3 linked regions of the Anolis sagrei genome follow. The protein of the gene in region 2 purifies or fractionates together with the protein of the main gene of each other region. This does not show direct contact. Links are inferred from orthologs where the notes say so. Each region holds a gene or a part of one and is shown on either strand. Other genes may lie near its edges. The genes, in order: EHMT2, CDYL and MIER1.

Region 1 (7,287 bases), on a different chromosome or scaffold from region 2:
GTAATTTTGTTGCTTTGTTTAGACCGTGGGTGAAACATCAGTGAGGAATGGGACAAGTATTCCTGGCAGTTTGTGTATGGAAATGGCCTTCAACATTACTTTACTTACTTAGGGGATCCCTCGTAGTCCAAATATAATGGTCCTCCAAATGTAGTGTCTTGCTGATGGGTCGTAGGTGGCTGTGGAGACCTTTTCTTGATCCGCATCTTCTTCCACAGTGAGGACATTGATTTCCAGGTGGAAGGTGGTCCCAGTCAGGGTTGGCTTGACGTGCCTTCCTCTTGGCACATTTCTCCCTTTCGCCCTCAATTCGAGACTCTTCGAATTCTGCAGCACTGCTGGTCACAGCTGACCTTGAGTGTTCAAGGGCCAGGGCTTCCCAGTTCTTCGTGTCTATGCTACCGTATTTAAGGTTGGCTTTAAGACCATCTTTAAATCTCTTTTCCTATCCACCAACATTAAGTTTCCTGTTCTTGAGTTCAGAGTATTGTAACTGCTTTTGGAGATGGTGATTGGGCGTTCAGACAACGTGGCCAGTTCAACGAAGTTGATGGTGTAGAAGCATTGTTTCAATGCTGGTGGTCTTTGCTTCTTCCAGCACACTGACATTTGTCCATCTGTCTTCCCAAGAGATTTGCAGGATTTTTCGGAGGCAATGCTAATGGAATTGTTCCAAGAGTTGAGTGTGATGTCTGTAGACAGTCCACGTTTCGCAGGTATATAGCAGGGTTGGGAGGACAATCTATATATATAAAAATGCTCTGTGCGTAATGAGTACCTTAAAAACAAAAGAACCAATGAACGAAATAACACCAAATTTGGCAACAAAACATCTCACAACACAAGGAGTGACCATCACTCAAAAATTATGATTTTGTCATTTGGGAGTTGTAGTTGCTGGGATTTATAGTCCACCTATAACCAAAGAGCATTCTGAACTCCATCAACGATTGAATTGAACCAAATTTGGCACACAGGACTCCCCTGGCCAACAGAAAACACTAGAAGGGTTTGCTGGGCATTGACCTTGAGTTTTGGAATTGTAGTTCACCTACATCCAGAGAGCACTGTGGACTCAAACAATGATGAATCTGGACCAAATTTGGCACGAATATTCAATATAAACACAGATGGAGTTTGGGGAAAATAGACCTTGACATTTGGGAGTTGTAGTTACTGGGATTTATAGTTCACCTACAATCAAAGAGCATTCTGAATACCACCAATGACAGAATTGGGACAAACTTCCCACACAGAACCCCCATGGCCAACAGCGTTTTCTGGTGGTCACAAAAAGGGAGGAGAAAGAGGAGGCCATCCTTCCTATGGAGGGAATTAAACCTGGAGGTTTGATGCGCCCAATAAAGAGCCCCCTGAACACCTGTGTCTAAACATGTTGGACAGAGACACGTGTTTCCCAAGGAAGGGGCCTTGTCTGGGGGGGAGGGGGAATAAGGAAAGGGATCCCCAATGAGTCTCACTTTACTTTGGATGTCCAGTCAAGCAGCGAAGCTTGCTTTTTCCCTCTCTCCTTGAAAATGGTCCTTCCTACCCACTGGTTCTGCATCCACAACTTGCTGATAGGAAGACAAAAGCTGCTGAGCTTGTTGACTGAAAGGTCACAGGTTCAAATCCGGGGAGTGGCTTGAGCTTCCGTTGTCAGCCCCAGCTTCTGCCAACCTAGCAGTTTGAAAACATGCAAATGTGAGTAGATCAATAGGTACCGCTCCGGCGGGAAGGTAACAGCACTCCATGTAGTCATGCCGGCACATGACCTTGGAGGTGTCTATGGACAACGCTGGCTCTTTGGCTTAGAAATGGAGATGAGCACCAACCCCCAGAGTCAGACACGACTGGACTTCAAGTCTGGGGAAAACCTTTACCTTTACCTGTGTATATAATGGGGAAAAGATTAATAAATGTTTCCTGGGGACAGGAGCTGTTTGATAGTGAAATATGCTGCTGCCTTGGGGTGTAGAGGAGTCTCCTTCCCTGAAGGGTTTTAAGCAGATGCTGGGTGGTCATCTGTCAGGAGTGCTTTGATTGTGTATTCCTGCATGGCAGAATGGGGTTGGGCTGGTTGGATCTTGGGGTCTCTTTCAATTCTAGGATTCTTTGATTCTAAGAGAGTTCTGTCATCTACACTGTAGAACGAATGCAGTTTAATACTACTTTAACTATGTTATGGAATCACGGGATTCATAGTTTGGTGAGGGCTGGAACTAGTTAACAGAAGAAGGCGAAAGACCTTGGAAACCTACAACTCCTAGGATCCCACAGTAATTCAAGTGGCGACAGAGTGACTCCTGAAATGCAGAGAAGACTAAAGATCTCATGAAACTACAACTCCCATGGTTCCATAGCATTGGGCCATGCATAGCAGATCCAGTGAGGTCAAACGGAACAACTTCTTTAACTATGCTATGGAATAATGGGATTTATAGTTTGGTGAGGCTCCAGAACTAGTAGACAGAAGAAAGCAAAAGACCTTGGAAAAGTACAACTCCTAGGGATCCCATAGCAATTCAAGAGGTGACAGAGTGAATCCTGAGATGCAGATAAGACTAAACACTTTGTGAAACTAAAACTCCCAGTGTCCCATAGCATTGGCAGATCCAGTGGGATCAAACGGCACGGCTTCTTTAACTATGCTATGGAATCATGGGATTTATAGTTTGGTGAGGGTCCAGAACTAGTTGACAGAAGAAGGCTAAAGACCTTCGAAAACTACAGCTCCTAGGATCCCATAGCAATTCAAGTGGCAACAGAGTGAATCATGAGATGCAGAGAAGACCTTGTGAAACTACAACTCTCAGGGTCCCATAGCATTGGCAGATCCAGTGGGGTCAAACGGAACAACTTCTTTAACTATGCTACGGAATCATGGAATTTATAGTTTGGTGAGTCTCCAGAACTAGTTGACAGAAGGCTAAAGACCTTCGAAAACTACAATTCCTAGGATCCCACAGTAATTCAAGTGGCAACAGAGTGAATCATGACATGCAGAGAAGACTAAAAACCTTATGAAACTACAACTCTCAGGGTCCCATAGCATTGGCAGATCCAGTGGGGTCAAACGGTACTATGCTATGGAGTCGCGGGATTTATAGTTTGGTGAGTGCTAGAATTAGTTGACAGAAGAAAGCAAAAGACCTTGGAAAACTACAACTCCTAGGATCCCATAGCAATTCAAGTGGCAACAGAGTAAATCCTGAGATGCAGAGAAGACTAAAGACCTTGTGAAACTACAACTCCTAGTGTCCCATAGCATTAGCAGATCCAGTGGGGTCAAACGGCACGGCTTCTTTAACTTTGCTGTGGAATCATGGAATTTATAGTTTGGTGAGGCTCCAGAACTAGTTGACAGAAGGCTAAAGACCTTCGAAAACTACAACTCCTAGGATCCCATAGCAATTCAAGTGGCAACAGAGTGAATCATGAGATGTAGAGAAGACTAAAGACCTTGTGAAACTACAACTCCCAGTGTCCCATAGCATTGGCAGATCCAGTGGGGTCAAACGGCACGGCTTCTTTAACTATGCTATGGAATCACGGGATTTATAGTTTGGTGAGTGCTAGAATTAGTTGACAGAAGAAAGCAAAAGACCTTGGAAAACTACAACTCCTAGGGAACCCATAGCAATTCAAGTGGCGACAGAGTGAATCCTGAGATGCAGAGAAGACTAAAGACCTTGTGAAACTACAACTCCCAGTTTCTCATAGCATTAGCAGATCCAGTGGGGTCAAACGGTAGTATGCTATGGAGTCGCGGGATTTATAGTTTGGTGAGTGCTAGAATTAGTTGACAGAAGAAAGCAAAAGACCTTGTGAAACTACAACTCTCAGGGTCCCATAGCATTGGCAGAGCCAGTGGGGTCAAACGGCACGGCTTCTTTATGCTATGGAATCGCGGGATTTATAGTTTGGTGAGGGCTAGAATTAGTTGACAGAAGAAAGCAAAAGATCTTGGAAAACTACAACTCCTAGGGATCCCATAGCAATTCAGGTGGCGACAGAGTGAATCCTGAGATGCAGAGAAGAGTAAAGACCTTGTGAAACTACAACCCCCAGGGTCCCATAGCACTGGGCCATGCATGGCATGACTGTATAGAATGCACCCTGAGCCAGCCTTGGCCTCCTCCCCTTTTGTTGTCCTTGCTCTTTGTCTGAGCGCCAGGGAATCAAGCTGTGCTGCCCCTTTAAGAGATTTCCTCCTCCTCCTCTTTCCCTCCTCCTCCCCTTGCCTCGCTCGTGACGTCAGTGCGGGGCCGGGTCTGTTGCTGCTGCTGCTGCTGCTGCTTGGGCGCGAGGCCATGGAGGCTGCAAGCGCGGAGGTTTGGGGCTTCCGTGGCTAATGGCGGGAGATCGGTGGGGCGATGCAGAGAGAGGGGAAGGGGAAATAATCCCGAGGGTGGAAAGAGGAAGGGGCCCCGGTTTCCTCCCGTACTCATTGCATGTGGCCTTTGATTTTTGGGGAGCCACATGGGAGGGGCTTGGGTTTGCAAAGGAAATGCAAAAGAAATGTTTTGTGTGGGATGGAGGGGAAGGAGCTGTGCATGGGAGAAGCGGTAGTGTCTTGGAAATTTGGAAGTGCAGTCAAGGAAGGAAGATTCCCCACTGTTCCCAGATTGCATTGAGAGAATCATAGAGTTGGAAGAAGGACCCCAAGGGCTCTCCAGTCCAACCCCATTCTGCAATATAGAGCCAATAACTTTGGGACCTTGTCAGAAAAATCTCACAAATACTCCTTTTTTTCCTATTTTATGGACTTACAGATTCATAGTTGGGAGAGACCCCAAGGACAATCCAGTCTCACCCCATTCTTCCAGGCAGAAAGACACTATCAAAGTCCTCCTAGAATAATAGAATCAAAGAGTTGGAAGAGACCTCATGGGCCATCCAGTCCAACCCCCTGCCAAGAAGCAGAATATTGCATTCAAATCACCCCTGACAGATGGCCATCCAACCTCTGTTTAAAAGCTTCCAAAGAAGGAACCTCCACCACACTCCAGGGCAGAGAGTTCCACTGCTGAACGGCTCTCACAGTCAGGAAGTTCTTCCTCATGTTCAGACAGAATCTCCTCTCTTGTAGTTTGAAGCCGTTGTTCCGCATCCTAGTCTCCAAGGAAGCAGAAAACAAGCTTGCTCCCTCCTCCCTGTGGCTTCCTCTCACATATTTATACATGGCTATCATATCCCCTCTCAGCCTTCTCTTCTTCAGGCTAAACATGCCCAGCTCCTTAAGCCGCTCCTCATAGGGCTTGTTCTCCAGACCCTTGATCATTTTAGTCGCCCTCCTCTGGACACATTCCAGCTTGTCAATATCTCTCTTCAATTGTGGTGCCCAGAATTGGACACAATATTCCAGATGTGGTCTAACCAAAGCAGAATAGAGGGGTAGCATTACTTCCTGACAGATGACCACCCAGCCCCAGGTGAAGAACCACCAAAGAAGGAGACCCCACTAAGGGCCCTTCCACACAGCCCTATATCCCATAATATCAAGGCAGGAAATCTGCTTTGAGCTGGGTTATCTGAGTCTACACTGCCATATATTCCAGTTCAGAGCATAAAATGTGGGATTCTGTGTTATATGGCTGTGTGGAAGGGCCCTAAGCTCCAAGGCAGGATATTTCACTGCCCAACAACTCTTACCATCAGGAAGTTCTTTCTAATGTTTGGGTGCAATCTTTTTTCCCTGTAGTTTGAATCCATTGGTGCATTGTGTCCTAGTTTCCAGAGCAGCAGAAAACAAGTTTTCTCAATGGGACATTGTTTCAAGCATTTAAACAGGGATATCATGCCAATACTTCTTTTGATTTTCAATCTGGACAGTAAATGATGTTAAGATCACAAGTATCCTCCAGAAGGATGTACACAAACATTCATGTAGAGTTTCTAAGCATTTCCTGATAGAACAGTGTTTCTCAACCTAAAGGTCAGGACCTGGGGGGGGGGGGGGGGGAGTCGCGAGGGGGTGCCAGAGGGGTCTCCAAAGACCATCAGAAAACACAGTATTTTCTGGGTTGTTGTAGGTTTTTCAGGCTATATGGCCTTATTCTAGAAGCATTCTCTCCAGACATATCGTCTGCATCTATGACAGACATCCTCAGAGGTTGTGAGGACACAGTCCAGCCCGAAATAAATAAACAAGCGAAATAAATAAAGAAATCTGTGGATATGGAAGACCGACTATACTTGTATACCCGAATGGACCCTAGACCTTAATTTTAGATATTCAGTTGAGAGGAAAGGGCAAACATATAACACATAAACAATAAGATGTGAGATTCCCAATTGTTTTCAATAACTGCAAACCCAATTTCAATCTACATCAGGCATGGCCAAACTCTGGCCCTCCAGGTGTTTTGGACTTCAACTCCCACAATTCCTAGCAGCCTACCGGAGTTGGCCCATGCCTGGTGTAAATGCACCCCTTTTCTTCTTGAGTCTGCATAAGAGAAGTGGGCGGGGCTTACACCTTTGGCAATAGGCCACACCTCTTCTAGATGGGAGCTCCTTGATTAGAACTGGGTTGCACTTGGCTAGTTCTTGCCTCCAAATGGGTCGGAATTACTCCAAATGGGTCAGTTTATAGGAAAAACAGAGCAGGAAGAAGCAGGGGGGGAAAGATGCCCAAGAGGCAAGAAGATTATTTATTATTATTACCATTATTTTTGTTATTAGTATCAGTCTTATTGTGAAGTATGTCAGAAGAGGGTTGTCTGAAAGCTCTGGAGGGTTGAACTTGCTTTCAATTGTTTAAATAGCCAAGATTCAGATGTGGTTTGCCCATAGAAAGGTGTTTCCTGAATTTGGATTAAGGTTCTCTTAGGTATTGGCAGTTGTATGCTGTTGTCTATTTACTGTATTTTCAACCTTTGATACCTCTGGGCAGCACAATTGAAGGGAGATGTTGACAAGCTGGAATGTGTCCAGAGGAGGGCGACTCAAATGATCAAGGGGCTGGAGAACAAGCCCTAAGAGGAGCGGCTTAAAGAGCTGGGCATGTTTAGCCTGCAGAAGAGAAGGCTGAGAGGAGACATGATGAGGGCCATGTATAAATATGAGGGGAAGTCATAGGGAGGAGGGAGCAATCTTGTTTTCTGCTCCCCTGGAGACTAGGACATTGGACAATGGCTTCAAACTATAAGAAAGGAGATTCCACCTGAACATTAGGAAGAACTTCCTGACTGTAAGAGCTGTTCAGCAGTGGAACTCTCTGCCCCGGAGTGTGGTGGAGGCTCCTTCTTTGGAGGCTTTTAAGCAGAGGCTGGATGGCTATCT
Region 2 (8,013 bases):
CTGACACATGTTTATTCAAAAGGAAGGCCCATGGTGTTTAACAGGGATCACCCACACTGTGTTCAATATTATAGGCCAAGCTTTATAGGCTTTGTTCAAGATACTTCAATGGTTCTACGATTCCAGGTTCAGCAATCTAAGACAACACAGATGTACAGTGGACACCTATTGAAATGTGTACAGTATAACCTCCTTATCCATGGCTTCAACATCCATGGCTTCACTTACGCATGCCTCAAAACAAACAAACAAAATAATCCCCCAGAAGTGTTTGTGGACCCCTCTAGATCAGTGGTTCTCAGTGGTTTGGCCTACAACTCCCAGAGATCCCAGCCAGTTTACTACTGTTAGGATTTCTGGGAGTTGAAGGCCCAAAACATCTGAGGACCAACATGTTCAGAACCGGGTGGCTGTGGGTTTTCAGGGCTGTATGGCCATGTTTCAGAAGCTTTCTCTCCTGACGTCTATGGCAGGCATCCTCAGAGGTTGTGAGAACCTCAGAGGTTGAGAACCACTGCTCTAGATCCTTGAGTGCTGTTCTATGGAATTCTTCCAATGCAAGTATTATCAAAACATAGGATCAGTGGTTGTTCGTGATTTTGAGTATCCATGTGGGTCTTGGAAGGCATCCCCTGTGGATACAGGGGTTGCACTGTACTTGCAGAAAGGTCAAGAAAACTATGGCTAAGCATGCTTCTCATGGCTCTTCCATCCCTTGGTGACATCTCCAAACCAGGAAGTTACATCCAAAAGAAATCCCAACGTGCTCCTGAAGGCATGAAGGATAGGAAACTGCCCACAGAAGTCCGGAAATCAAAGAAAGAGGAGTCACCTTCTTCTCAGCCAGAGAGGGAGAAGACCCCAATGGATGCCACTCAGTGGTTCAGACATTTGTCAAGAGTGAAGGGGGGGGGGGAAGCATGGCCATGTTTCAGAAGCTTTTTCTCCTGACGTCTATGGCAGGTATCCTCGGAGTTTGTGAGAACCCCAGAGGTTGAGAACCACTGCTCTAGATCCTTGAGTGCTGTTCTATGGCATTCTTCCAATGCAAGTATTATCAAAACATAGGATCAGTGGTTGTTCATGATTTTGAGTATCCATGTGGGTCTTGGAAGGCATCCCCTGTGGATACAGGGGTTGCACTGTACTTGAACAAGGGTCAAGAAAATTATGGCTAAGCATGCTTCTCATGGCTCTTCCATCCCTTGGTGAAATCTCCAAACCAGGAAGTTACATCCAAGAGGAATCCCAACGTGCTCCTGAAGGCATGAGGGATAGGAAACTGGCCACAGTAGACCGGAAATCAAAGAAAGAAGTCACCTCCTTCTCAGCCAGAGAGAGAGAAGACCCCAATGGATGCCACTCAGTGGTTCAGCCATTTCTCAAGAGCAGATGGGGGGGGGGGAGCATGGCCATGTTTCATAAGCTTGCTCTCCTGGCGTCCTCAGAGTTTGTGAGAACTTCAGAGGTTGAGAACCACTGCTCTAGATCCTTGAGTGCTGTTCTATGGCATTCTACCAATACAAGTATTATCAAAACATAGGATTAGTGGTTGTTGTGGATACAGGGGTTGTACTACTGTACTTGCAGAAAGGTCAAGAAAACTATGGCCAAGCATGCTTCTCATGGCTCTTCCATCCCTTGGTGAAATCTCCAAACCAGGAAGTTACATCCAAGAGGAATCCCAACGTGCTCCTGAAGGCATGAGGGATAGGAAACTGCCCACAGAAGACCGGAAATCAAAGAAAGAGTCACCTCCTTCTCAGCCAGAGAGAGAGAAGACCCCAATGGATGCCACTCAGTAGTTCAGCCATTTCTCAAGAGCGGAGGAGGGGAAAGCAATGACGTTGACGTCTCAAGTACACTTTGGGGGAAGAGGGACAAAACACCAATCCAAAACTTAGGATGTGGAGGCGCCTCAGTTGGGTGTTGTGTTTTGCATCCACTCTAGAAGGGGGTCAGAAATGGAGATCCAACAAGAGTGGGGATTGGGGGGAGGGGGGAGAAATAGAGAGAGCTGTCCTTCTTGCCCTCCCAGTAGAGGACAGGGCTTGCTTTGGCACGCACACACGCCCCTTATTTTGTGCACACAACCGACTTTGGTGTGCAAAAAAAAGAAAAGAAAGAAGAGTGCGAGAGCGAGGGCTGTCAGCGCCTCTTGGCTTGGCCACCACCTTCTCCTCGTGGCGAGACCAGAAGAGGAGGAGGAGGAGGAGAGGAAGGCTTGGGCTGGCTGGCTGTGGAGTTGGATTAGAAGAAGAAGAGTGGCAGAGGAAGCCAACGGGCAGCACTTTGCCGCCGCCTCCTCCTCCTCCTCCAGTCCTATTTCCGTCCTCCTCCCTGAAAGAAAGAGAGAGAGAGAGAGCAAACTGGGGGAGGGCGCCCAGAGAGGGGCGTAATTTGGAAGCACACAAGCAGCACACGCACCTAGGCCGAGGGAGAGGGGGAAGGGAGGGGGAAGGGAGAGAGAGGGGCCCGAAAGCAGGCGGCAAGGCTGTTACCTCATAGAGTTCCTCGGAAGCCATGCCTCCCAAGGTGGAGGAGTTGGGCGCGGGTTTGGAGAGACTTTTGTCTCACTTGAGGGGAAGAGGGAGGGAGGGAGGTGGGGCCTCGGCTCCCACTCCTCGCTCGCCACGGCGCTCCTCCTCCTCCTCCTCTTCAGCCCGAGGTGCCGCTCTCCTCTTCCTCGCCGTCCTTCTCCCTCTGGTGCTGCCTCGGCTGCTGCTCCTTGTGGTGGTGGTGCTCGTGCGCAGAACAAGCTGCGCAGTGGGGCTCCCTCAGCTCCCTCCCGCACTCACACTCGCACTCACTCTCGCTGGAAAGGGAGGAAGAGGCGACGATCCCTCTCCTCCTCCTCCTCCTCGGTGCCTGGCTCCTTCCTTCCTTCCCTCCTTCCTTCTAGGCTGGCCAATCGAGCGCCGAGCTCGCGCCCCACGGCTCTAGCAGCACCGCCACCCTCCTCCTCTTCTTCTTCCTCCTCCTCCTCTTCCTCCTCCCCCTCCCCTCCTTTGATCGCCCATTGTCTCCTCAGCTGAGCGGCGGCGCGAGGGGGCGGCCGCGATTGGGCCAATGGCCGCCGGGAGGGGAAAAAGGGGAGGAGCCACCAAGGAAATAGGGAGGAGGGGCGCCAGGAGGAGGGGGGGGCGAGGCCACCCTGCGCCTCGTGGGAGGAAGTGGTGGAGCCTGGCAGCCATGTTGGAAGGAAGGGCTGGGCCCCCATTGGCCAAGGAAAATGGGGCTTCCCAAACTTCTTCTCAAGGGGCAACTGGACCCACCTCCCAGGCATGCTTGGCCACCATTCCTTCAAGTCCCCATTGGCTAACCTTCTTCTTCCATTGGTGGCCCAACTTGATGTCCTTCACCATTTCACCAGCATTTCTCATCTCCTCTTCTTCCTCATCTTCTCCTGCCTGGTCTTCATCCATTTCATCAACATTTCCCATCTCCATGTCTCTTTTTCTTCTTCCATTCCACCATTAATTAACACTAATTTCTTATCTCCATGTCACCTCTTCTTGGTCTATCTCCATGTTCTCCTTCCTGGTCTTCTTCTCCTTCCTGGTTTTCATCCATTTCATCAACATTTCCCATCTCCATGTCTCCTCTTCTTCTTCCATTCCACCATTAATTAACACTAATTTCTTATCTCCATGTCGCCTCTTCTTCCTCATTTTCTCCTGCCTGGTTTTCATCCATTTCATCAACATTCCCCATCTCCATGTCTCCTCTTCCTCCTCCATTAATTAACACTAATTTCTCATCTCCATGTCGCCTCTTCTTCTCCTGCCTGGTCTTCATCCATTTCATCAACATTTCCCATCTCCATGTCTCCTCATCTTCCTCCATTAATTAACACTAATTTTTCATCTCCATGTCATCTCTTCTTCCTCATCTTCTCCTTCCTGGTCTTAATCCATTTCATCAACATTTCCCATCTCCATGTCTCCTCTTCTTCCTCCATTAATTAACACTAATTTTTCATCTCCATGTCGCCTCTTCTTCCTCATCTTCTCCTGCCTGGTCTTCATCCATTTCATCAACATTTCCCATTTCCATGTCTCCTCTTTTTCCTCCATTCCACCATTAATTAACACTAATTTCTCATCTCTGTGTCTCTTTTTCCTTATCTTCTTCCTGGTCTTCATTCATTTTACCATCATTTCTCATTTCCATGTCTCTTCTTCCTCATCTTCTCCTTCCTGGTCTTCATCCATTTCATCAACATTTCCCATCTCCATGTCTCCTCTTCTTCCTCCATTCCACCATTAATTAATACTAATTTCTCATCTCCATGTCTCTTCCTCATCTTCTTCCTGGTCTTCATCCGTTTTACCATCTTTTCTCATCTCCATTTCTCCCCTTCTTCATCATCCTCTCCTTCCTAGTCTCTATCCATTTCACCATCATTTCTCATCTCCATTTCTCCCCTTCTTCCCGATCCTTTCATTCCAGGTCGTCATATATTTCACCATTATTTAACACTAATTTTGCATCTCCATGTCTCTTCTTCTTCCTCATCCTCTCCCTCCTGGTTTCCATCAACTTCACCATTGTTAACACCTCTATGTATAATCTTCCCCATCTTCTCCTGCCTGGTCTTCATCCATTTCACCATCATTTCTCATCTCCATTTCTCCTCTTCTTCTCCATCCTTTCCTTCCTTGTCTTCATCCATTTTGCCATCATTTAACATTCATTTCTAATCTCCATGTTTCTTCTTCTTCCTCATCCTCTCCCTCCTGATCTCCATCCACTTCACCATCATTAACACCTCTATGTATCCTCTTTCCCCCCATCTTCTCCAGCCTGGTCTTCATCTATTTCACCATCATTTCTCATCTCCATGTCTCCGCTTCTTCCTCATTTTCTCCTGCCTGGTCTTCATCCATTTCACCATCATTTAACACTTATATCTCATCTCCATGTCTCCTCTTCTTCCTCATCCTCTCCTGCCTGGTCTTTGTCCATTTCACTATCATTTAACACTCATATCTCATCTCCATGTTTCCTCTTGCTCAGCCTCTCCTTTTAAACCTGCCTTTCAATTCCTCCGATCCAGCTTGGATCCATCCTAATCCATCTCTGGCAAATGGTGACCAGCATAAGTTCATCCTTTCCATCTGTTTATTTGCCTGTCCTTTTTTCCATTTCAAATTTCTCATTTGCCTAGCTTTCTCACATTTCATGGTTTTATCTCTCACAGGTTCTATTTCACTATCTTTATTCTCTCCATCAATGCATCAACAGTTGTTTACATGCTTCATTTACTATCCTGTCCCTTTGCCTTGACCATCCATATGGTCTCCCTGGCTACTTGGATTTTGCACATTCAGACTGTCATTCCCATCCATTTGCAATCTCCCAAAATTTTTATATTTCATCCTGTACTCCTTTTCCCTCCATTAAACTTCTACATATCCAATTATCTCTATCAGTTCATCAATCTAGCATTTCCATTATTAGTAACCTTAGAAGTATTCCCTACTCAACACCTTTTTTAGTTTTCCCGATTAGTCTTCTCATTCATCTTTACCTTTATTGCTTTCACCTATTTCTATTTTATTGTGCTTCCTGATCTCTTCCACTGTCCATCCACTCCCATTTATTTTATGACCCATTCATCCTTAGTTTCCGTCTGTCCACATCTTTGCCTATTTGTTGTTGTTGTTCATTCGTTCAGTCGTTTCCAACTCTTCGTGACCTCATGGACCAGCTTACGCCAGAGCTCCCTGTCTGCCGTCACCACCCCCAGCTCCTTCAAGGTCAATCCAGTCACTTCAAGGATCCCATCCATCCATCTTGCCCTTGGTCGGCCCCTCTTCCTTTTTCCTTCAATTTTCCCCAGCATAATTATCTTCTCTAAGCTTTCCTGTCTCCTCATGATGTGGTCAAAATACTTCAGCTTTGTCTCTAATATCCTTCCCTCCAATGACCAGTCAGGCTTTATTTCCTGACGTATGGACTGGTTGGATGTTCTTGCTGTCCAAGACACTCTCAAAACTTTCCTCCAACACCACAGTTCAAAAGCATCTGTCTTCCTTCGCTCAGCCTTCCCTATGGTCCAGCTCTCACATCCGTAGGTGACTATGGAGAATACCATTGCTTTAACTATGCGGATCTTTGTTGCCAGTGTGATGTCTCTACTCTTCACTATTTTATCAAGATTGGTCATTGCTCTCTTCCCAAGAAGTAAGCATCTCCTGATTTCCTGGCTGCAGTCTGCGTCTGCAGTAATCTTTGCACCTAGAAATACAAAGTCTGTCACTGCCTCTACGTTTCCCCCCTGTATATCCCAGTTGTCAATCATTCTTGTTGCCATAATCTTGGTTTTTTTTATGTCTAACTGCAACCCAGCTTTTGCGTTTTCTTCTTTCACCTTTGCCTATTTACCAATTTTGTTTTACTAAATTCCTGAGTTATTTTATCAATTTATCAAAATATCAATTGGCTATGTAGGGATTTATTGTCACAGAAACAAAATGCTAGCAGACAATTTGAGCAAGAAGAAATTCATACAACAGCAGGAAAATTCATGAATGGCTTCCTAGAAAATGTCTTCAGATCCAGCAGAATAAAATTAATTAAATATTTCCTCTAAAGTGTGGCTTCCTCTCAGGGCAAAATATAGTTACAGAATCAAGACCCAGTCAACTATGGACAGCAGCATCAAGTGATGTTTGACATACATTCAAAAATACTCAGACAATATAAAGTTAATGTATCATAATTTCTCATACACCTAAAATCAGGATTTTAAGAAGGAAGTCAATTTACAAAAAAATGAAAGTATGTTTACCTGGAAAGAAAATACAAAGAACTGATTTTCAGATTTGTAGAGTATGGGAACATCGAACAAGACAAAATGCATCTCAGGATTACTTCACTTCTTCTGCAGCTAGGATTTTAAAACAAAGTACTGTAGGTTGTTTACATTTGCAGAATCCATGGATGGGCAAAGCTTATTGACACCAATTTCTGCAGCACTGAATATGTTCTCAGAAGAGATTTAAATGGATGGATTACAAAGTAGGGGTTTTTTTTTTTTTTGGTTTATGTCAGACTGGGAAGTAGTGAATTTGTTTCCTAACAGGTGAATCACCAAAGTCGTAATTTTGCTCATTATTGTATATTCAGTTTCATTTTGCATGGTCAGTCTTAGCTATGACTCTTGTAGAAGATGCAGACATTTCAGAAGTTTCATTGACTATTTCTGGGTTATAAATTATGGTTAGAGAAAAAAAAAACCTTTGCCCAAAAAGGGATATATATATATATATATATATATATATATATATATATATATATATATTCTTTCTTGGTAAAACAGTTTGGTTGACCAATATTGTCTTTTGTACGAAATGTCTTGAGATTATGAGATACACTCAGATTGAGCATTCAACAATGATATCAAAAGCAGATGCTTTCTTTTCTTTTTTTGAGGTTTCATGTGCTCATCCTCTCTTAAGTTACCTATGTTGCTTTAAACACTGAAGTATATCCTGGATGACTGTCAGAAATATTCAAACTATTCAACACATTAGCATTATGAAATATCAATTATTTTATCAAAACTAGTGCTCTAATGGCATTCTCAATCAAGTTCCACTCTAATAAAGAAAAGTTCAGGAGAGGTTTCTCAACAAGGAACGTAAATTAGATCAACAATATATGTAGCATGAAAATATCTAGCATTATACAAGTAGAGTTCCATGTTGTGATCAAGTCCACTAGCAGTGTTCTCATAGCACAATCTTTATATTTACTAAAACTAGAACATCTCTGTATAACCTATTGGAAACAAAAATTCCCGGTGACTTGCAAGACTACATAGCCAAAGTTACATAAAGTTTGTTATCATTTCTCTGCAGCGTATCACATTTTATATTTCCAGATTTTGATTGTATTCATTGTTGTGCACTATCCAATCAACTTGCTAGCTCTCTCCCAGTTTTCTGCCATCTCTTAATACCATACTTGTGAACACTTTATGTTATCATCACTTTCTTCATCTAA
Region 3 (7,079 bases), about 79 Mb from region 2:
GCCTCTTCCATTGTGGCATCCTGATACTATAATGTCTAGTTGTTTTGGTGTGTTGAGTTTTCTTGCCCATGTTGTTTTGATCTAAGGATCATTTCAAAACTAATTTAAAATAAAGATTAAGAGTAAAACACCTTTTACTCTCAGTATCTATTTTTAATAATTATTTTGCTGCTAATTGTATTTATTTTATTGCTTTGTTTACTATGCTTTTAGAACTTCTATATAATCCACTGTGAAGTGCAGAATTCCATACATATCACAAATGCATAAATAAACATGGTGAAAATTCTATCATTAAAAAAAATGCTTCTGATAACCACCTTGGAAAAAATGAAATATATAGGATAAAGCAGGTGTTCAACTCTTTCCTTTGTCACATATTTAAAGTATGGATAGCATAGGGACTCCATGCAGAGTCCAACTGAGTTGTAAACACATGAAATTTTCTCCTTCAAAGAAGTCACTGAGATGAGGGAATCTATTAATCACAGCACTAAAGTTTCAGAAATGACTCAACATAGAACATTCATGTAACTTTTAAAATGTCCAAAATAAAGACACCATGTACATAGCATTACTGCTTGGAGAAACACCAGAATTAAACTTAGGTGAGTAACTATTTACAATCTTACCCTATATACTTATGTATAGGTCTAAAAAAATAGTCAAAAAAACTAACTCAGAAAAACTGGGCTGACTTACCCATGAGTCAATGTGAGTACTATATCTTAGCTCTTGTATATAAAAAGAGACCATTCTTTCTCTGAGTACAGTGGTGAAAGGTAAGAGCTTAGACTATTCCAGGAAAACTTAAAAGAAGCACCAGCCGTCTCTACTCTCTCTGTCTTGGCATCACTTCTAGTCTTTTTGAATGCCTGGGTGGGGAAATGGCAGTGATGGACTTGAGGAGACGGCACTTCCCCTCTCTGTGAAATGACTCTTCGATTATCCACAGGTCATAGCAAAATCCATAATTCTGAACCCTAAACCTGAACCTGACTTATACATGAAGTCAACTTATAAATAAGTATATAAGGTAGTTTGAAGACTTTGCCTTCAGCAGTAAAGAACACCCAACTTTCGTGTTCCAAATTTCTACATTATACTACTATCCATTTTGAGTGATTGAAACATATACTTCTGTGGTTGTGAGATATATGTTGGGTATGGCTCTGGACAACTCGCATTTCCTTTGACTTATATATTATGTAGGGTTTTGTTTTTTTTGCTAAATTCAAAAGCGGTCTTCAGTCACTATCTTTATATTTTTATGTATCTTTCACCACCTGGATCTTGAGTTATTGGACAGCCTTTAAGATTCAATTTTGCTCAGTGAGGACCCTTCCACACAGTCATATAATCCCACAACATCTGCTTTGAACTGGGTTATCTGAGGGCTGTTCTCACCATATGTCAACCCATAGCCACTTGTATCACAAGTTTATTATATTGGAGTCGATTTTTACCCCGCATGAGTACACCAAGGCAAGACCCAAAGCGACTTAACACAGGTATGGACAAATTTCAGCCCTCCAGGTGTTTTGGACTTCAACTCCCACAATTTCAAACAGTTGGTAGGCTCTTAGGAATTGTGGGAGTTGAAGTCCAAAACACCTGGAGGGCCGAAACTTATCCATACCTGTGTTAAGTCGCTTTGGGTCTTGCCTTGGTGTACTCATGCGGGGTAAAAATCGACTCCAATATAATAAACTTGTGATACAAATGGCTATGGGTTGACATATGGTGAGGGTTTTTTTTTTGTTTTTTGTCGTGTCAGGAGTGACTTGAGATACTGCAAGTCGCTTCTGGTGTGAGAGAATTGGCTGTCTGCATGGACGTTGCCCAGGGGACGCCCGGATGATTTGATTTTTTATCATCCTTGTGAGAGGATTCTCTCATGTCCCCGCATGAGGAGCTGGAGTTGATAGAGGGAGCTCATCCGCCTCCCCGGATTCGAACCTGCGACCTGTCGGTCTTCAGTCCTGCCGGCACAGGGGTTTAACCCACTGCGCCACCGGGGGCTCCATGGTGAGGGGTGCATAGTCAAGACTGGGCAAAAAAATTTTACTATTTTTTTTAAAAAAAATGAATCAGCTTGAAAGAACAGAGGAAAAAAGAGGTTCAGCATAAAGAGTCCCCTAAATCAAAGGATAATAATATTACCTAGATTGGGCATGAGCAAACTTGGGCCCTCCAGATGTTTTTAGACTTCAACTCCCACCATTCCTAACAGCCTCAGGCCACTTCCTTAAGTGGCTGAGAGGGAAAAGGATGGGGCCTGAGGCTGTTAGGAATGGTAGGAGGAGTGGAAGTCCAAAACACCTGAAGGGCCCAAGTTTGCTCATGCCTGTCGTAAGTTCAACAATAGCCAAAAAAGCGAGGTAGGGGCAACTTGGGTGACAATTTGATCATCCCAGGCAGCAAGATACCAGCCTTTTCCCTCGCTATTCCATCCAAAAATGTCCTTTCCCCTTTACCTTCCCTGTGTCCCAAGGCAGAGCTCCCCCCTTCCTCCCCCTCCTTCCCCTCCAAGTTCCAGTGGGGCCCTGAGAAGGCTGCGAGTTCGAGTCGTGCCCCGCTTGCCACCCAGGCCGGCCTTGGGACCTTCAGCCGAACTAACTTGCACAGAGAGGCTGCCGCGCAACAAGTTCCCGGCCGGGCCCCGACTCCCCTCTCTCTCCTCTTCCTCCTCCTCCTCCGGCCTCCTCCTCCCTCTCCCCCTCCCTCCCTCCTTCCTTCCTTCTAGACGCCCGCGGGTCTCCCTCACTCACCTCCGCCATATTCGCCGCGCAGCTGGGGCGGGCCGAGCCGGGAGTGGGGTAATCACATCGCCGCCGCGGCGGAGGAGGAGGAGGAAGTGGCACGGGAAGGGAGCGAGAGCGGCGGGTCACAGCGGTCTCTGGGAGGCGGCGAGCTCTGCTAGGGAAGGAGGGAGGGAGAGAGGGAGGGAGGGAAGGCGCCACCAGGGGGAGGAAGAGGCCCGGCGACGTCACCACGCAAAGGAGGTGGGCGCGCCCGCGACGGCAGCGGCGGCGACGACGACGCCTCTCCCGCGCGCTCCTCCTCCTCCTCTCTCCTCCCCCTCCCTTTTTCGACCAGTCACGAGACCATTTGTTTGATTGGGGTTTTATTTTTTTTTAACCTCCGCGCGCGCGCTGCGTTCGAGAAACGACACCCTCCTCCCTTTTCCCCCTCCCATTCTTCCAACTGTAATTACGCTCGCTCCCCCCTCCCCCCTCCTTTTTGAGGGCAAGAATAGAGCAAGGCTCGTGCCCCCCTCGTTAGGTGTCACGCAGGCCTGCCTTTGCATAATAATAATAATAATAATAACAGCGCGCAAGATTGCAGATGTTTCCCATGTCTTTGGGGCCCCTTCCAGTCTCTATAAATAAAAATGTCATGTTAGTTCGTGCTACCATCAAAACTCAAAAACCACTGGGGGAATTGACACCAAATTTGGACACAAGACACCTAACAGTCCAATTTATGTCCTCCACTCAAAAAAAATGATTTTGTCATTTGGGAATTGTCGTTGCTGGGATTTATAGTTTACCTACAATCAAAGAGCATTTTGAACTCTACCAAGGATGGAATTGGGCCACACAGGGCTCCCATGACCAACAGAAAAAACTGGAAGGGTTTGGTGGACATTGACCTTGAGTTTGGGAATTATAGTTCACCCACATCCAGAGAGCACTGTGGACTCAAAAAATGATGGATCTGGAACAAACTTGGCACGAATATTCCATATGCCCAAATATGAACACAGATGGAGTTTGGAGGAAATAGACCTTGACATCTGGGATTTGTACTTACTGGGATTTATAGTTCACCTACAATCAAAGAGCATTCTGAACTCCACCAATGATGGAATTCAACCAAACATGCCATACAGGACTTCCATGACCAACAGAACACATTGGAAGGGTTTGGTGGGCATTGACCTTGAGTTTGGGAGTTGTAGTTCACCTACATCCAGAGAGCACTGTGGACTCAAACGATGGATCTGGACCAAACTTGACACAAAAATTCCATATCCCTAAATATGAACACAGATGGAGTTTGGAGGAAATAGACCTTAACATTTGGGATTTGTAGTTACTGGGATTTATAGTTCACTACAATTAAAGAGCATTCTGAAACCCACAAACGACAGAAATGGGGCAAACTTCCCACACAGAACCCCCATGACCAACAGAAAATACTTAAGGCCATCCAGTCCAACTCTCTTCACCAGGGCAAGAAAACGTAATCAGAGCCCTCCTGACAAAGAGCCATCCAGTCATAAATATAGATAGATAGATATGATTCTCTCACACACAGAGAGATATAGGATCATAGATTTGAAAGAGACCCTTAAAGAAGGACTATGATAGGTTGCATATTCCAGAGGTGGCAAACCAGACACTCTCCACATCAACACTGACAAAGAAACAACAAGAAATACTGTTTACTCACAAGCATAAAGGAATTACATATATTAGAAACCAACACTTTCTCATTACTTTATTTTCCAGATCACCAGACTGGGCCACAGCAACGCGTGGCAGGGGACAGCTAGTAACTGAATAAAATCCCACATTATCTGATTTGAACTGGGATATATCTCACTGTGGACTCAGTAACCCAGGGCCCTTCCACACAGCCATCTATATATATAAATTTGTTAGGGGCATCCAACAAGGAAACAAAACTCAAAAAACCCCCAACGAAACTTAACCAAAATTCCCATGCCCATAACACAACCCACAAGGTACAAACATATCTACTCAAAATGAAAAACAACACAACAACACACTCACAAAACGGCAAAACAACAAAACTCAAAAATCCCCCAACGAAACTTAACCAAAATCCCCGTGCCCATAACACAACCCACAAGGTACAAACATACCTACTCAAAATGAAAAACAACACAACAACACACTCACAAAACGGCAAAACAACAAAACTCAAAAATCCCCCAACGAAACTTAACCAAAATCCCCGTGCCCATAACACAACCCACAAGGTACAAACATATCTACTCAAAATGAAAAACAACACAACACACTCACAAAACGGCAAAACAACAAAACTCAAAAATCCCCCAACGAAACTTAACCAAAATTCCCGTGCCCATAACACAACCCACAAGGTACAAACATATCTACTCAAAATGAAAAACAACACAACACACTCACAAAACGGCAAAACAACTGAGCATGCGCATTGGCGCCCAGCCGCAAGTTCCATCGCGCGCACACATGGCCTTCCGGCCAACGTTCCCTCTGCGGAAACCATGCCCACTCCAAGCCCCGCCGCGCCGCTTCCTGCACACACACACCCCCTGCCGCACGCACACACGCAACCCCACGCTCCATCACTCCCCCCGCTGCCGCACACACACACGCAACCCCACGCTCCATCACTCCCCCCACCGCCGCACACACATGCAACCCCACTCCCCCCGCCGCCGCACACACACAGGGAGGGAAAGAAGGAGAGAAAGAGGGAAGATTGGCCACAGCAACACGTGGCGGGTAAAGGTTGTTATTTCTATTATTATTATTATGATGCTATTGTTCCTATGAGACCCTTTTAGGGGGAATGGGAGAGGTGTCAGGTCCCAGAGGCAATGCATTGCATTATTGTTATTGTTATGATGGTGGTGAAATAAAAGGAAATCAAAAGTGAAAGAAGGAAGCAAACAGGGAGGGAAGAAAGGCAAAGGAAGAAAGGGGGAGGGAATGAAGGAAAGAGAGAAGGATGAAACCAAGTAGTGAAAGAAGGAAAGAAAGAAAGAGGGAGAGAAGGAAGAAAGTAGAGAAAGGGGGAGGAAAAGGGGGAAGGAATAGGTAGGTACCTCTCTTTCATAATAGTCCAGATATCTACCTCAACTTTGATAAGTTTTACTATAGGCCACAGCAACGCGTGGCAGGGCACAGCTAGTATAACCTATTATATCAGGGCAGAAAATCCCACAATATCTGCTTTGAACTGGCTTATCTGAGTCCACTCTGTCATATACCCCAATTTTGTTCAGAGGTGTGGAAGGGACCCCAATTCAAAGCAGATCATCTGGATTTTATACGCAATGTAGGACCTTTCCATATAGCTCTATATCCCAGAATGTCAAGGCAGAAAATCTCACAATATCTGCTTTGAACTAGGTTATCTGAGTCCACACTGTCATATACCCCAGCTCAAAGCAGATAATGTGGGATTTTGTTCAGAGGTGTGGAAGGGGCCCCAGTTCAATGCATATCATCTGGATATTATATGCAATGAAGGACCTTTCCACACAGCTCTATATCCCAGAATATCAAGGCAGAAAATCAAGCAAAAAGTGGGTACTAGAAACGAAAGCTGACTGGCACAACCTGGGGATCACAACCAGACACAGTGAAGGCATCTGCCCTTGCGCTATGCTACTCTGTTGCTGAGTATGCTTGCCCAGTGTGGAACACATCTCACCATGCTAAAACAGTGGATGTGGCTCTTAATGAGACATGCTGCATCATCACAGGTGTCTGCGCCCTACACCAATGGAGAAAATACACTGTCTAGCCGGTATTGCACCACCTGACATCCGCCGGGAAGTAGCAGCCAATACCTCCTTGCGGCAATACCAGAGGCACTCCAAGTGGCCAGCTACTGGTCAAAAGACATTTAATCAACTACCAAGCTCGCAAACTTTGTGTTTTGTCAGTTTGTTTGTTTGTTTTATTAAAAATGTAATACAAATGTCTGGTTGCTCCTGACACAATAAATAAAAATAAAATAAAAGGCAAAAAATCCCACAATATCTACTTTGAACTGGGTTATCCGAGTCCACATGTGCTGTCGCACACTGGGCCTGTGCATAAAATTGTAGAAAGGACTTAAATTCTGTGTGCCCAACGGGATGCCGGGGCTGCCTCAGGTTAAAGGCCCTTGGATTTCCTTAAATCAGAGTCTTTAGATTGCTTAAAGGTTCAACAAAGTTCTTTATTAATGAAAACAAACAGGTACTTTAAGGTTTACTTAACAGTCTATTGGCTCTCTCTCAATCTTGTCCACAGGGAACAGGCACTATCTTCATAAACTGTATTTCCATA

What was found.
Region 1: the proteins of CDYL (region 2) and EHMT2 purify together in Homo sapiens (affinity purification with mass spectrometry; 4 studies listed by BioGRID and IntAct, with this or other methods). This does not show direct contact. The link is inferred for Anolis sagrei from reciprocal best matches to the Homo sapiens genes CDYL and EHMT2.
Region 3: the proteins of CDYL (region 2) and MIER1 purify together in Homo sapiens (co-immunoprecipitation; 3 studies listed by BioGRID and IntAct, counting the BioPlex papers as one, with this or other methods). This does not show direct contact. The link is inferred for Anolis sagrei from reciprocal best matches to the Homo sapiens genes CDYL and MIER1.

Annotation. Positions count from the first base shown.
Region 1 is NC_090022.1:18,398,930-18,406,216, forward strand, and holds the start of EHMT2 (histone-lysine N-methyltransferase EHMT2), read left to right. Parts: upstream 1-4,261; 5' UTR 4,262-4,313; coding exon 4,314-4,334; intron 4,335-7,287. UniProt on the Homo sapiens protein: Histone methyltransferase that specifically mono- and dimethylates 'Lys-9' of histone H3 (H3K9me1 and H3K9me2, respectively) in euchromatin.
Region 2 is NC_090024.1:86,532,982-86,540,994, forward strand, and holds the start of CDYL (chromodomain Y-like protein), read right to left. Parts: upstream 3,072-8,013; 5' UTR 2,526-3,071; coding exon 2,502-2,525; intron 1-2,501.
Region 3 is NC_090024.1:165,101,645-165,108,723, forward strand, and holds the start of MIER1 (mesoderm induction early response protein 1), read right to left. Parts: upstream 3,002-7,079; 5' UTR 2,781-3,001; coding exon 2,772-2,780; intron 1-2,771. UniProt on the Homo sapiens protein: Transcriptional repressor regulating the expression of a number of genes including SP1 target genes. Probably functions through recruitment of HDAC1 a histone deacetylase involved in chromatin silencing.